Linked DNA regions of Lepisosteus oculatus. The protein of the gene in region 2 purifies or fractionates together with the protein of the main gene of each other region. This does not show direct contact. Links are inferred from orthologs where the notes say so. Each region holds a gene or a part of one and is shown on either strand. Other genes may lie near its edges. The genes, in order: ezh2 and macroh2a1.

Region 1 (8,135 bases), on a different chromosome or scaffold from region 2:
GAAATAGACACTTCACAGCCAGAGGATTTCACAGTTGTAAAACCCAAAAATTATTCAATTTCCATTGTATGTCTTGCCTTTTGATTCTTTAAATTTCTAAAGGAATTCAACTCTAACAGCATGGATAGAGGGAGCAGTATTAGACCATTTACATTTATGGATAAAATATTTAGCCAAAATAATTAACAGATTAACAATAAACACATTCTTTATCCAAATCAGATCCAACAAAATATTAAATAATATCAAAATCTTTCAATTTAACATTTACCTTAAAATCTTGAACAATAACATTTTGCAGATCTACCCAAAACAGTTCTGTTTATATGCAGTAAACAAATGTAGTAACAAAGAATCCGTCTCATTACTACAAAGTACACATAAGTCATCTTGTTCATGTTTAATTCTAGGAAGTACAACTTTTGTTTGGCGTTTACTGGGACCGTACTTGTGAAGGATATCACGGTACCATCCTCAGAGAGACTGGATCGAGAAATGCAGTTTAAAACGAACGGGTGCGATTGTGAAATGACACGGGGGATTCTACTTTAAAACGACTGCCCAGAAAAGCATGGTATTGTCATTTGTTGACAGGAGGAGGCGGGTGGGGAAGCACTTTTTTTTTACAAAAAATTAGCAAAAGACCAGTCAAATTGCGTAGTGGGCGGGAAAGGGAAACAAACGAGGAGTTAAGTTAACTGACTGTGAGAAATATCAATTGCGATAACCCACTACAATCGGACCAGTCAACTACACCATCCGCTTGTATTCCTAAATAAACCCCAAATGCTAAGTATTCGTTCGATCTAGGGCTATACTTCAGACTGTATTAAAAACATCATGGCACTAAGAATCACTTAATTTATCCTACAGATAGATGTAGTGCTCAGTGCAAGCGAAGATAAAAATGATAGCGCTACACACCGAAGACAAAGCTCGTTTTTGTCCCCCCATCCGTAAGCCTCGTACTGAAGCATCACGGGATATGCAAATCGTACGCAACTGTATTACAGGCACACGCGGCCGCGCAACTAGACAACTCGAGACCAGCAGAAGAGAAGACGGACGATTATTGGGGGGAAGTCAATGACAAATTAGCCCGTCCAAATCGCATTGTGCACAGATGACCTCCCTCCTCCAGCATTTGTGCATAAAACCATTGCACTCGATAATGAACCAATCCATCAACCGGCTGCATTTTTCCAAAATGAGACAATTTATTGTGAAAATAAAAAGTAACAAATCATAATAAATAATGAAGATGTTATTAACGTTATTACTTTTGCTTTGATCTCCACACCTTTCAGTCCTACTTTTTCTGTACATATAATCGCAAAGCGAGCTGCCAGTTTTACAGCTGCAATACCGAGACCTGACCGCTGGGGGGAGAGAACGGTTTGAAAAAAAATAATTTCAGCGCCGATGAGGACAAAATACTGTTAAAAATGAAATTAGTTTATTTTTTTCCGTGCTACTGCGTGATTTACCCCGCAACTGAAAAATCCATGCAAAACAAGGAAATACTTTTCATACTCGTTCCAGCATTTTTTTTTATATTACGCTCAATGCACACGTGTTAGCCATTCAGAAATGAATGCAATATTATACAGAAAGTCACGCTTTAAACGATAGCAACATGTGCTGTAAATAACGGATCACGCCAATTACATTTCTGAACATTCCTTGAAAATGGAAGACATTTTAATGAAAAGTTAAATTCGGTACCCAAAGTGAGAGAGTATGTGAACGTACCATCTTTTTATTTTGTGAACGCAATCGTTTCAGCACAGCATTGCAGCCCGAGCTGCCTTTGATCAAGTAAGTGCAAGACACCAATTAGCTTAAAAGCACGTGTTCTGCACAGACCTTTGCAATCGACGTAACAATTGTAATTTTTTTTCCATGTATAAAGAATTTACAAATACAAGTACAACTCAAGGAGCAATTGTAATTGACCAATCAGGAGCGCGGAGAGTGACCAAGGGCAGCAGCAGGTACCTGAACTGTCGTGATCACGGTATCGTTATCCTGTAACACATCTCAGGCAATTAATCGTCTTTACTGGGAGGTTATCTGTTCTGCATTAAACAAAAAAAAAACACGATTAAACGCAACACGAGCTAAGACATCTCCACGACCGCCGCCTTCCACGCGGAGAGACTTCAAAGCGGCTCGGCGGGCGGCCCACGCGTGGCGTGGCGTGGAAAAAATTCACATGTGACGCACTGCGAGGCGTTCCGGGTTCTAGCAGCGGTGAAACACGAGGAGAGAGCAGGACGCGCACACCCCGTCAATGAGGAATGAAATGCTAAGGGTCATTAATAACCCTTTTCCCTCCCTCTCCTGTACTCCCTAGGCGGTGCTCCGCAGCGTGGGTGTCTTACGACACGTAAGAGACAGAATATCAAAATAGATACAGCAAATAGGCACTTCACAGCAAGAGGAATTCACGACGCTAAGGGCTGAAGCAGTTGCAAAGTCTGGGAGCAGGTCCTGAAGATGATGAGGAAGACTACAGCTCGTCCGTCTGGGAGAAGAGGCCCGTGCGGGAGAGCTTCGTGAAGTGGGAAAGCTGTCGCGCCGGGACAGTCCCACTCCCTCGCCCTGTGGCGGTACGAGTAGTCGGTGGCGGTGGATGGCCACGACGCCTCTCTGTGCCTTGTCTTGCCCTTCGCTGTCCACAGAGCATTGCAGCAGTATAGTGTCCCATCACACTGTACTGGGGCATCAGGACCCACGCAAACCGCAGGGTGAGAGCGCCCCCCGCTGGCCCCACTCACACCTCTTCCAGCAGCAGCTGGGGGTCTCCCGTCCGGGTACCGGCCAGGCTCACACCTGCTGGGCTCCAGGGGCCTGCCAGCAGGGAGCTGTAGTAAGATAGCAGCAGAAAATTAGCGATTTCATTGTGGATGATAATTAGACTTTACTCGGTATTTGTTCCGGTGGCATATTTCAAATAGATTCAAATCTAAAAATATCTTTGCACAGTTTTGATCACGGGTAGATATTTATTTCGACTCTAGAGTAGTTTTGGGAGGGTGGGGGGGATCTATCAGCTGTTCATTTCCATTAAATTTGAAGATTTTCTCTGGTTTCGAGAGGAAACCCAGTCCACCCCGAAGGGAGTTAGCGAGCTGTTCCCTCGTGCTTTTTTTTTTTTTTCCTCCGTGGGTCTCCATGGGCAGACATTCCCTCTGCTGTCTCCTTCCTTGTATCTCATACGCGCACGGCTCCGCCGACCCGGCAAGTCCGGTCTGGCCGGTGTCCCCCGTCCGGCCCGCCAAGCCCCATTCAAAGGAGAAGGCGGGGGAGGGCCGACCGCCAGCCGGCCAATCACGGCGCGAGTGGCCCGCGGCCGGAGACCAATGCCAGGAGAGGGAGGGATCCGGTGAGACCCTGTCAGCCAATCGGAGAGCAGCTGAGCTCGATTTCAGGCAGGCGTGGGAGAGGGCGACTTTGTAGCGTGTTGTCAGACAGCTCCGGCAAATCACAGGGCGCGGAGTCTTGGCGAGACTGTAGAAACAACTACCCCTTTCTCACATAGAGTAATATAACCCCTACCCTTCAATATGGCAAAAGATAATAACTGTTGTGAGCCCGGACTTGCCTTGAGAGGCACTCCATCCAAACATCGACACTTGTCGTTTTCCGATGGCATGACAATGACATGTTTGAACCTACCATCTCTCTGTGCGCCGGTATGGATCTTAAAGTACCCTAAAATTAACTCATTAAATTAAATTAATTTAAAAAATGAAAGAAGAACACGCGATTCACAGAACGTCTCTGCCCCTGCTCTGTAAAGTCACTCAGGCGGGGCTTGAAGTCTCGTACTTGTTCAGTCGAAATACCTCAGGTCCCTCGGCGATGAAGAGCTCTTTCTGCACATGGCGGTGTCTAACGATGGTTAAAGAACGTGACTTCGAGGAGTTCAAATCTGAAATCCGGGAATGGGAGTCAAAAATGATGAAAACAGACCTCGGTAACGTCGTGACGTAGCGAGGCAGCCTGTCGGCACAGGACAAAAAGAAGAAAATATTTGCTTTGTTTTCACTTTTAAAAAAAAGTCAAATTTAGAGGTCAAGAGCTCAGTATTGGTAGGAAAGTGGTAATTTGTTCGGATACAAACGCCTCCCACTAAGGTAGAAAAATGATTATGTGAGAACAAACCTTTAGACCACTCCAATTGAGACAGTTGCAGGACATCCACCGCTATGTGTATTTGTGCAAGCTGACTGAATATTTATTTCCAAACTTATGTCGTATATCTACTTCATTTAATGTATTTTTGAGATAGAGTAGTGTTGATGACAACTGAGCTGTTTGATCTACTATTTCAAATCGTCTCTAATTCACGGGTAAAAGTCCAGAAGAGGTGTGAGTTGTCTCTACATGCTGTGTACAGGAAGGGCAGAAAGCAGTTTCTCATAATTATTGAGCCCGATCAGTTTGGATATTTAAATTATATTTAGGCTAATATTCATTAGAGCCTACTGGATGGGGTGATCCTCAGACCGTGAAAAGTGCGTTCAACTGTTTTTCACGAGTTTCCTTTGATTAAACTAGTGTCTTCAAGAGGGATTTTACAGCAGGTAAGATACTAATTAAAGCGAGAAAATAATGCGCCGGGGACAGAATATAAACAAAGACCTTTCATTTTGTGAAGTATAATTCCATTCTTTTTTCCCCTCAACCTGCTTTAAAGTAGTCCTTTGGATATTGATTCCAGTGACAAAGGTTAATGCACAACAATCATTAGAAAACGACTATCTTCTGTCAAAACACTCTACTATTCCGGTACTATAACTGAAGGACATTTAAAAAAAAAAAAGGTCCGTGCTTTCCAGTGAATAAAATAAAGCGACACGTATCTATGTAAGTGACATTATAAGTTATTTCGTCAACAGGCGTCAGCTCTGCATAACTACAGGGCTGAGGCGGATATAGTTATAGCTCCACATCTCAAGAGGTGTAGTCACACAACTTTTTATTAGGAACAAGTAATAGGTTTATTCCATGCTGAAAAAAAGAAGAAAGAGAACACAACGTTTCGGCCGTGGAGCTTTCTTCAGGTTTTTTTTTTTTTTAGTGGTTGGGGTGAAATGAGCTGTACATGAGGTAGCTGTGTGAATCCGTGGGTTTGTATTAAACTGAAGTGGACAGTCGGGGATAGTCGATGGAGAAGTTGATGTCTAGAAACGGAAGAGCAGTGGAAGATATGTTAACCGTATATTTGAGGGACGGGTGGAAGTTGGTGAAACTTTTTATTAGCTGTGAAAGTGACTGAACTAGGAAAGAGCGAAAGAGACAAAAGCGTTTTTATATCCACCCCCATTCCTTGACACGGCTCTTCCACATCCTGGGAGACGTATATAATACGCTTAGACGTTTCCGATTTAATAGTAAAAAATATTTTAATCTGCTCAGAGCAGAACAGCCCCCCCCAATTGGCCATTTCTCTGCAATCCAAAGATGCACCACAAATAAACCAGCTGGAACGCGTCGCTTTGCGTATGCCACGGCGTAGAACACGAAGAGGCTGTCGATTACATTAGCATGACTGTTCGTTTTTGTTTTTTGAGTGAAAACAAAAAATTAAGCATCGCAACCGCCGACCTCAACAGCACTCCACCGAACAAGCCCAGGAACAAAGGCAACTTCTCCACATGTCCCCGCAGGCGGGGCCCCCTGCCGCACAGCCGCCGCTGATTGGCCAGCTCCCCGGCGGCAGCGGGCCATTCGGATGCCCCGATACTGGGGGGGCTGAGTGTCCTCCTCGCTGATTGGCGGCCGCGTTTGGCGCTCGCCGAGGCCCCGGTCTGGCGGAGCGAGGGGCGGACAGCGAGCGAGCAGAGGCGACGGGCGGTGAGCGGAGAGCTGCCGGAGCGGAAATCGCCGTGCGACGAGGGGACTCCGTGCCGAGGCGAAGGCGACCGAGTGCCGGCCGCAGCGGAGCGGCCCTGCCGAGCCAGGGAGGGGGGGGGCGCCCAGCGAGCGGGAAAGGAGGAAGGAGCCGCCGGGCCCCGGCAGCGCCTCTTTGTGTGAGCCGTTTACCCGGCGCCCCTCGGTCGGTCCCGGAGCCACGGGAGGGTCGTCGCCTCGGTACCCCGGTGGCTGTGGACCAGGAGTCGAGTCGGCTCTTCGACAGGTGAGAGGGGTTTTTTTATGTGTGTGTGTGGGGGGGGGGTTTGTTTCCATTTTGTCGTTTTTCCATTCACACGACTAACCCCCCCGCTCTCTCTCTCTCTCTCCCCCCTCCTCCTCCTCCTCCTCCTCTCTCTCTCTTTCTCCCGGCTCGGCTGGCTGGCGGAAAAGGGAGAAGAAGAAACGGCTTTCTTTTTGTTTCGGGCGGGCTGGAGTGCAGACCTGTGTGTGTGGGGGGGTCGGAGCGGTGAAGACTTTTTTGTTGTTGTTTTGTTGTTGTCGTCGAGAGAGTCCGCACGGCCGCTGTCCGGGTGAGCTTGAGCCGGCGGTACCGGGGCGGAAGTTTTGCGCCGTGCGGTTCCCTCCACCGCGCAGTGTGGGATCCGGGTGGGAGAGTCGTGCGTGGCTCCTTCGCCCGGTGTTGTCTCCCACGGGGTGTGTGTGTGTGTCTGCCCCCTCTCCGGCGCCGGCGGTGTCGCCTCGGGTCCTCTCTGAGCGCCGTGCCGTGTCGGTGAAGTCCGCTGTCCCGGTATTGACCTCGGCGAGGCGGCGCGTCGTGAGAGCCCGTTGTCTCTACCTGTGTGTGGTGTCCCGGGCTGGCGAGGGCTCCGCGACAGCACGTCAGTGCACACGGGTTTTTTTTATTATTATTATTTTAATCTGATCCCCTGCTTTGTGTTGCTGTTAGATTTTGTTTTGTTTTCTTTTTTAAAGAATTGGTCCGCCGGGGGTTTTAGGAATAGGTGAGTGGAGGTAGGGTTTGCACTGGACCACTTTTGCTTTGCTTTTCGATGTCCTGGGGGGCGCTGAGCGTCCCGGCGAGTTGGTTTTCGATGGCTGGCAGCGAGCAGCCCCATGTGTGCGGAGCAGCCCCATGTGGGGAAGCGTGCGGAGCTGTTCCCATGTTCCTCCATCAGAAGGAACTGGTCGTGACCTCGGGTCATCGGGGCGAATGTGGAAGGCTTGGCTTGAGACTACCAGGTGCTCTTTTTTTCACTCTTTCATCCTCTTCAGTTTTTTTTTTAAGGAGAATGGTCGTCTGATAGTCTGCCTGCAGTGTAAATCTGATGTGGTGTCATTTAGGTTGTGGTGGCCTGGGTTTAAGTGTAAAAAAAAATGTGAACTGTTTTTTTAAGTTGTGAATAGATATGTTTTTAAGAATGTATCTGTGAATTCATAAACGTACCTCAGTTCAGAAATTATTCGAAGGTAAGGTACTGTCTCATTGTTTCCACACGCCAGCAGTACTGGATGAATTTGTACACAGAAGGTGAGCACTACGAGTGAGCGGCCAGCGTGGCTGTCTTGGTGTCAGGGGTGTCCTGGTCCTGGAGGCGTGTGCTGTCATTCAGACCTCAATTACCACCTGATTGGCCCAACATCCCCGCCACTCCCAGCTCTGCAGAGACCTGGAGAGTGAGACAGCGGCCCTGCCGGACCAGGAACTCATGCTCTTGTCGCCTCAGGAGGGCGAGGGGTCGCGCGGTTCAGAGCTCTGAGGCTCTGCGCGGCGCTGAAGACTGACACCTCCTTACGTGTCTTTCTTGAGCCCCGAATGGTTACCATTTGATGGGTCCCTGACTGAAATCGGCCGCACAGCCGTGCGGGACGGTCCTGGCTGTTCCCCTGGGCTTGACGGGCTCCGGGACCGCGCTGCCCGCCTCTCTGAAGGGTTCTGGTCCTGGTTCTGGTCCCGCAGCGGTGATGTGGTGCGCAGGCCTGCTGTCCCGGCTGCTTGTTGTAGGTGGGTGGGGAGGAGTCGGGGCTGGCGGGGCCTTTCTTGTTTTCTGGTCAGGTTCCAGCCAGCCACCCGTCGGGCTTGCAGCAGCGTCCCCCCTGGGGACAGGGGTCTCCCCTCCCTCTTTCTGAGAAGGAAGCGGTGCAGCCGGAGTGAGCCGAGAAGGGGAATTATGTTTGTGATCAGTCGCACCCCAGCTGTGTTCTCGGGTATGGCTCATGTTTAATGTGAAAGTGCGGTGCCTTAGAAGCCG
Region 2 (8,144 bases):
TAGGACACACATGAGCCGCAGGGTGAGCGCCCCCTGCTGGCCCCACTAACACCTCTTCCAGCAGCAACCTTAGTTTTTCCCAGGAGGTCTCCCATCCAGGTACTGACCAGGCTCACACATGCTGAGCTTCAGTGGGTTGCCAGGTGTGAGTTGCAGGGTGATATGGCTGCTGGTCGTATCAGAGAAAAAAATATATTGTGCTGCCTGTTAAGGGGTACAACAAAAAGGTGTTCTCCAGGCCAAAGAATAAGATGAAAAGTGACTCCAGAGCAACAACTGTCTTGACTGCTCTGCTCTTTCTGAAGAATTTTGAGTTCCATCAAAATGGCCGATATTTTATTTTTGTAGCTGGACAATCCATAGATTGGTGGAATGATTTTCAAGAATTTAAAGCAGCTGAGGATTTAAACTGGTTTCCACTGCTCTGGAAACCCTGTAAAAGTAGATTAAACATTTGCAGGCAGGATCACTGAAAAGTGCACTGGTTTCTCCAAATATAGGTAAAGTCTGGGCAATATGGGATCCCCAGACTCACAATCAAGATAACATTAACCAATGCCAAGCAAGATTGTCCTTCTCCACTGGACTGATCTGGACGCCACACATGTCGGCATGTGTAGATGTTGCCACAACAATGGCATTTGCTGGGATTCCAATAAGTGAAAGCAGGAAGAGTACTCATCTAAAAAGAGAATAGCCATCCATACTGAAGTGTAGTGACATAAAATTGATTACTTTAAATCACTTTGAAGAACACTTAAAGAAATGTGCTAAGACCAGCCCAGTACTCATATTTCAACATTTGACAGTTCATAGGATGTTATAAAAAGAGAACAACAGCACATGTTAACAAAACAATTAGGGACATAGAAGTTTAGAAGTTTAGGTACAATGAAGAAAGTGATACCTACTGATAGTACTTGGCTTCAATACATTTGTCACCTTTGAGCTACAATTTCCATTAAATAACTCAGTTTTAAGAAAGGTAATGGAAATATCTCATAGAAACTTCTTCTACTTAGTGCTAGTGAAAAACAGCAAGACTTTAGTAGAAAGAAGCAAACTCCAGAAATCGAATAATTCTGTCTATGAAAAAAGTGAACATAAACATCACTGTCAAAAGGATCAACCCCATAAAAGTTACTAAAGCCTTTATTTTCATTCATTTACTTTGTAATCGCTTCTTCCATTTTGGGGTCACAGTGGAGCCAGAGGAAACCCAAATGTGGAGAGCAAATACATTCCATACAGATAGCACCCCAAGTCCAGAATAGAGCCTTGCGCCATGAGACAGCAATGCTAACCACTGTACTGCTCTACTTTAGTAACATAGTTCTGAATGTATGTAGTAACAGGCATGGGATCCAAAATATTTACTGGGGCATGAAACTGTAAATAATACCTTTTCTGAGTTCCAAAAACAAATATTATAGCTGTGAGAGAAAAATATTCTTTTTAAAAATTTAAATAAACTCTATTATACAATGCATACAATTTTCATTTAATAAATAATAGCTACTGTATATAACTATAGGTCATTAAATACATTTTCTAATATTTTATACATTCATAAATTGTGATTATTATTACTATTATTATTAATAACAATAATATTTTCATTAAGAGTTTACTAAATCTGATTTAAGAATGAAACAATACATTCTGTGACATTTCATTAATACATTTACATAAATAAGCCAAATAATGTACATACATTATACATAATTAAGAGCAACACATTTTAAAATAGTTTTTCTAAATTCATAACCTCCATACAGTGTATCTTTATTTGTATGAGTAAAATATGTAAACTATCTTATAAGAGATAAAACAATATCATGCTGTAATTATATTTAGCAAGCTATATCTTAATCAGGTTTCTTATTAATGTTTTCTTGTATTTTTGTAGTTTTTTGTAGAAATGTCTGTAGTTTTAAATAATTCAACCAAAATGCTGAATTGTCTTATTGTTCATAGGATTCTTTACAGCCATTATAGCTCAAGCTTCTTCTTGGAATTCAATATAACACCTACTGTATAACAAGGCTCAGAGAGCCAACAGGAATAAGATAATAAGAAATGTAGCGTTGCTGGTCAACTGTTGCTCAGCATAAATAAACAGGCAGGTAGAATGAAAGAAGAAAGGTTCAGTATTGTTGTTTATAATTCTACTTCCAGCTTTGAATTATCTTCTACTTGTTCCTTTAGAGCTCATACACTGACACAGCTCCTTGCTTGAACCTGTGTTGTACAGTGGAGGGTACACATAAGTTGTATCTGTTCTCTAGCTTAAGCTGATTATGATGAGGGGCTTCAGATCTTGTCAATAATGCCAAATGGTGTCACATGGTGGGTAGCATTGCTGTCTTGAAGTGCTGGGGCCTTGGAATCAATTCTGCACCTTGAGTGCTATCTGTGTAGAGTTTCTATGTTTTCCCCACGTTTGTGCGGATGTCCTCCCAGAACTGTGAAGCAGCAATTCTAACAACTGTGCTGCCCTAAACTCTTCAAAGTTCTTTTATTCCCAGATTTTGTCAGTGTATCTCTTATTAATATTAAGTTAAAAGGTTTGTGGTCTGTGTTATCTTCCCAGTGGAGTGAGATGAAAATTCACAAGGAATCAGAGCAAAACTGGAAAAGTCAAATCTGTCAGCGGGTTTTTGTTCTCCCTGTGTTTGTGTGGGTTTCCTCCCACAGCCCAATGATACACTGCTAGGTTAATTTGCTTCTGGGAGAGCTGGCCCTGGTTTGTCTGTGTCTGTGTGTGCCCCATGATGTGCTGCTGTCCCATTCAAGTTATATCGTGCCTTGCACCTGTTGCTTTCTGGCTCCCCCTGTATTGGATAAATCAATATGTGTAAGGGTACGGTTAGGATTGTATTTCTGTACCTGAAACCCCTAGAGAGTAGACAAATTTAGACTGTATCATGGTTATAAAACTTTATAACTTCACTCATTCCCCATTAAATCTTTTCATTTAATATTGAAAATATTCTTTTCAAATGATCAAGCAAATGATGCAAATGATCAGCCATTTAATGAATTGAGCGATCACGTCTTAAGGCAGAATGGAAATTCATTATCATGCTTACTCAAAAAGTTTATTAAAACCTTTTATTTGATTTTCAGTCCATCTCCTTTTTACATTAACTGTTTGGGATGTCTGGCTTTTCTGACAAATTATTTGTGATATTACAAAATATATCTTAGAATTGTGAGGTGAGTTTGACCAATTTACCAAAAATCAAATGTAATATTTTGCAAACATAAGACAACTCACTGATTTTTTAAAGATTTTGTTTTGTAATTTTGTCTCTTTTTAAAATGTATACTACAATGAATAAAATTTGTAACAAGTAATGGGCTATTTTTTAGTTCCTCTTTAGCAATGTACTTCTAACATAATTCTCTGAAATCCCCTGTGGGCATCAAATAGGAAGTATTAAACACAATTTATGAAAACAGCTGTCAAGAAATAGAAAATAGTGCCACTCCAGTGCCACTCCAGGAAGCCTGTTTGTCGTATCTGTTCCAGAGATTTACTTTTAAATTGTACTTTGGAGACAGCAGGGTTTAGCAAAGAAATTCGAGTTGAATTCATTGCTATTAAAATCTTAAATATTTCATATAAATAATTATCATATAAAATAATTGTAAAATTGTAAAAATTGTAATGTAAAATCCCATTCATATTTGTTTAATATATTTCCTTCTCTACCGTATGCAATCCGAGGATTGAAAAAAGACATTGGAAAACACAAACGCTTATACTGTAGCTGCCTCTTAGTCTTACTGCACCAGTAGGTGTGTCTCCACCTGCTGGCGTAAATGCTAATTAAAAATGCGGTTCAATAATAGTGTCCAATAAATTATTGTAACGCAACGGGGGCTCCGGCGGGCGCCCTTGCCGCATCTGGTCGGCCCCTGCACCGTCCGGGGCTCGAACCCGGGACTTCCGCGTCTCTCTGCAGCGACCTAGCCCCGTGAGCCAAAGAGAGATCTCTCCACAGCCCAGTAGCTGTGGTCCTGCTATCACAGGGAAGGGCGGTGACGTCACCCGCTCTGGTACGCCGGCTCTTACACAGCGCCTGTCGGCCGTAAGCGTTACACTCTCCCCCGCTTAAATCGCCGTCCCCGGCGAAGGGCTATCCCGCCCCGCTTCTGACACCAATGTAACGCAACGGGGGCTCCGGCGGGCGCCCTTGCCGCATCTGGTCGGCCCCTGCACCGTCCGGGGCTCGAACCCGGGACTTCCGCGTCTCTCTGCAGCGACCTAGCCCCGTGAGCCAAAGAGAGATCTCTCCACAGCCCAGTAGCTGTGGTCCTGCTATCACAGGGAAGGGCGGTGACGTCACCCGCTCTGGTACGCCGGCTCTTACACAGCGCCTGTCGGCCGTAAGCGTTACATTATAAATAGTCCGGTATTCTAAAATATATTTCAACAACGCCATTTAATAAAGAAAGACACTGTATTTTAAAAAGAACATTGTAAGACGTTTAGCTTCAATCTCAAGGTTAATTTTGCATTTAAATTGCCTACTACAGTATTTCGTTATGCATTTGTTAAGGCTTTACAGACTTACAGACGCAAATACCCACTTAACCTGAATATTATTTTTGTTGCTTAGCAATGCAGACTATTTGCCCAAGTGAAACACGTTTATTTTAAACATAACTATGTTGTGATCAATAAAGGCAGACTTTGAAACCTGCTTTTATGTCTGCTCAACGAAAAGCCTCGTTTGTTGACCGATTTTAAGGTTAAACGAAAGTCAATAAAACAGAGTATACTTACTTCTAATTCAAATTAAATAATGTTGTACATGAAAGAAAGTGTTTAGTTGAGTCTACTTGCAATCAAAACATTAATACCGGCACCAGCTGTTGAGCATTTATCAAGATTCCGGTTAATTACAGCGAAATGCTAGTAACTGCTTCCTCTTTAGAGAGCAGTTACATAGATAGGTCGCTATGGATTGTGGGAATCGGAGACACTGCCCAGGCTTGTTTTATTGGAGCTGCAGGAGACAGTAGACATATTGCTGTGCTTTATTCTGTAAGTAACTGACATTCTTTGATATTAATTTACACCTGTTTCGCCCTGAAAAATCAAACGCCGCATTTTTTTTCTGGAAAAACATCATCTGCCTTACCAGTCACGTCTTTAACCCAGTCTACCCATTTTACTTGTAGATCAGGGCCGTGTGACTTGAATTGTATTTATAGGCTACATTTATGTTTAGCAGAATCGCAGCCCCGCTGATGAAAACAAAAAGCATACTGCTGCGTAATATCTTTGCGGGAGAAAACATGTGTCATGTATAACACAGATTGTTGTCTCATTATTTGTGTCATTAATGTTTGGTAATATTTTGTATATTTCTTTTATGGTAACATTTCAAAACCCGGAAACCGAACCATTCTAGTTTCTAACACGACATTATTTCCAGTATTTCATTTTTTTTGTTTTATGTAATATGCATATTTAACAACATATAAATATCTATATATTAATTATACTTTATATCATAAGATGGAAAAACGTGAAAAATGAGAAAGTGGTAATATAGAACAGTATGTTTTCTGTTTACTTTTAATACCCTTTAGCTATACATCCTGAGGGGAGAAAATAGTTCGTGTCTACAGAATATTATGGTTAATGTAGTACACTTTGCACATTCGTATTTCTGATGTTCATTTTTATATTTGCTACAGCCAAAGACAGTGACAGTGACAGTAACAAAAAAATCAGTGTTTACCGTTTTATAATATAATAGTAATACCGTTTTTAATTCTGTATTAACTTTAGAATGTGGTACCAATATTTGGCCTCTTCGAATTGTATAATAACGTTTTATTTGTTATAAAACATTGACTAGAATGCAAATAAAGTAACCAACGTTTTATATAAAGTGTATTAACTCAGTGATTCTGATCATTCAAAAACCATGCAGAATTGAAGACGCTTGAAAAAAGTGATACCTGAATACAAAACATTTCTGTCACACAAAAACAGCAGTTATCTACTTCATGTTGCACAAAATGCTTTTCTCCGAGGACCCTGGAATTTTAATTAAGTACCTTACACTGATGTTTATATAAAACCTGGTATTCAGCTGTTTTCCTCTCTATTTTTCTCTTATTGTTATGTGTTTTAATACTAATTCCTGTCTTATTAATCAGTATATCTGTAGCTATAGTATTGCATGTATTAAATGTAGCTACAATATTGTAGCTGTGAGTAATCTATTTACATTTTTACTGCTCACAGAAGTAATCCCTTTTAGTAATCTGTAACCCACGATTTACATTTGAAGTGACATGTTTGCGTTGCTGACGAGTTAGCATATACATTATAGACGTTGCTTTCATAACTCATATGTGAGATGTTTTTATTTTTTATGTCCCTCCAGAAATCTCTTATTGCTAATTAGATATTTAGTATACACTATTATATATTATTATATCATAATTGTTGTTATATGACACATTTTAAATATTTTCTTTTACTTAATGTGTTGTAATCTATTGTTACTCTGTAAAATTAGTGGTGTAATTTGTAAACTCCACATGAGGCACTTAAACAAAAGACTAGTCATTTGGGAGTTAAGAAGCTGTTGCCTAGCAACCTGTACCTGAAAGGCAAGTGTGCCCCTGAGGAAGTAGAGAATTAAAATGCATCTAAACAAAAGCCAGACAGGTAAAGCCTGTAATAGGAAGACATAGATCAGTCAGAATGTGATCTACAGTATATAGGAATTAAACTCATATTTTATTACAGCAGTATCTAATTGTTACCGGTGTAGTAAACCACCGCATTCTCTTTTAAATTATTTAACTGAGATCTATTTTAAAAAGGTCAATATAATTAAACTAAAATGTTCACAATTTACAGGACTGTGACCTCTTAAATAAATGAAAGCGCTGCTTGTGTTTTACATTTAGGCCATATTTCTACAAGTATATTATGATTTTACATACTTGTGCTATTGCTGGAAAAGGTGATAGAGAAAAAACTTAAATTTATCTTTTTTTAAGATGCTGAACAAAATTCAGAACTTTTTTGTGAAAAATGTGTTTGATACTTGTATGTCTGCAACACATAATAATGATCATCATAATAATTCATTAATTTATTTTTTAAAATCTTACAATTATATAGCACTTTTCTGGAGACTTCACTCAAAAGACCTTTACATGTAATGGGGACTCCCCACCACCACCAATGTGCAGCCATCACCTGGATGGCAGGCATAGTATGCCAGAATACTCACCACACACCAGCTATCAGTGGAGAGCAGAACAGAGTGATGAAGCCAATTCATAGATGGGGATTATTAGGAGGCCACGATTTGTAAAGGCCTAGGGAAAATTTGGACAGGATGCAAGGGTAAGACCCCTACTTATTTCGAGAAACATCCAGGAATTTTTAATGACCACAGAGAGTCCGGACCTCGGTGTTTGCATCTCGTACAAAGGACTGGGCCCTTGGGCTATGTCCCCATCACTACACTGGGGCATTAGTGCTCACACAGACTTTAGGGTGAGTGCGCCCTGCTGACCCCACTGACACCACTAACACCACTTCCAGCAGCAACCTTAGCTTTGCCAGGAGGTCATCCATCCAGGTACTGACAGGACTCACACCTGCTTAGCATCAGTGGGTTGTTAGTTGTGAGTTGCAGGATCATAAAGCTGCTGGCAAATTATACTGCTAAATCGGAAACTGTGAAAGTGTTTTTACCCCCACTAAAATGCTCTTGTTAGGTATTTCAATAAATATCTGTACAGACATGTTGAGGAGAGTAAACAGAACATTAGTTTCCGTGGCATTGAGTTTTTTTCACTTCTCCAGACCTACAATTTCAGACTGGCAACAGCACTATGTCTAGCCGAGGAGGAAAGAAGAAGACTACAAAGACATCTCGGTCTGCGAAGGCTGGGGTTATTTTCCCTGTGGGCAGAATGCTGCGCTACATTAAGAAGGGGCACCCCAAATATAGGATTGGAGTAGGAGCCCCAGTTTACATGGCAGCAGTCCTGGAATACCTAACTGGTGAGAACTATGCAACTCTCTCTGTACTTTGATCTTAGGAGTTTTTTATCTCCTGTTTCATTTATATTACAATAAATAGTTCATTTTT

Evidence for each region.
Region 1: the proteins of macroh2a1 (region 2) and ezh2 purify together in Homo sapiens (affinity purification with mass spectrometry; 3 studies listed by BioGRID and IntAct, with this or other methods). This does not show direct contact. The link is inferred for Lepisosteus oculatus from reciprocal best matches to the Homo sapiens genes MACROH2A1 and EZH2.

What each region holds. Positions count from the first base shown.
Region 1 is NC_090701.1:2,908,393-2,916,527, reverse strand, and holds the start of ezh2 (histone-lysine N-methyltransferase EZH2), read left to right. Parts: upstream 1-5,083; 5' UTR 5,084-6,148; intron 6,149-6,397; exon of another isoform or gene 6,398-6,455; intron 6,456-8,135. UniProt on the Homo sapiens protein: Polycomb group (PcG) protein. Catalytic subunit of the PRC2/EED-EZH2 complex, which methylates 'Lys-9' (H3K9me) and 'Lys-27' (H3K27me) of histone H3, leading to transcriptional repression of the affected target gene.
Region 2 is NC_090706.1:23,557,838-23,565,981, forward strand, and holds the start of macroh2a1 (core histone macro-H2A.1), read left to right. Parts: upstream 1-4,906; 5' UTR 4,907-4,921; coding exon 4,922-5,056; intron 5,057-7,855; exon of another isoform or gene 7,856-7,869; coding exon 7,870-8,056; intron 8,057-8,144. UniProt on the Homo sapiens protein: Variant histone H2A which replaces conventional H2A in a subset of nucleosomes where it represses transcription. Nucleosomes wrap and compact DNA into chromatin, limiting DNA accessibility to the cellular machineries which require DNA as a template.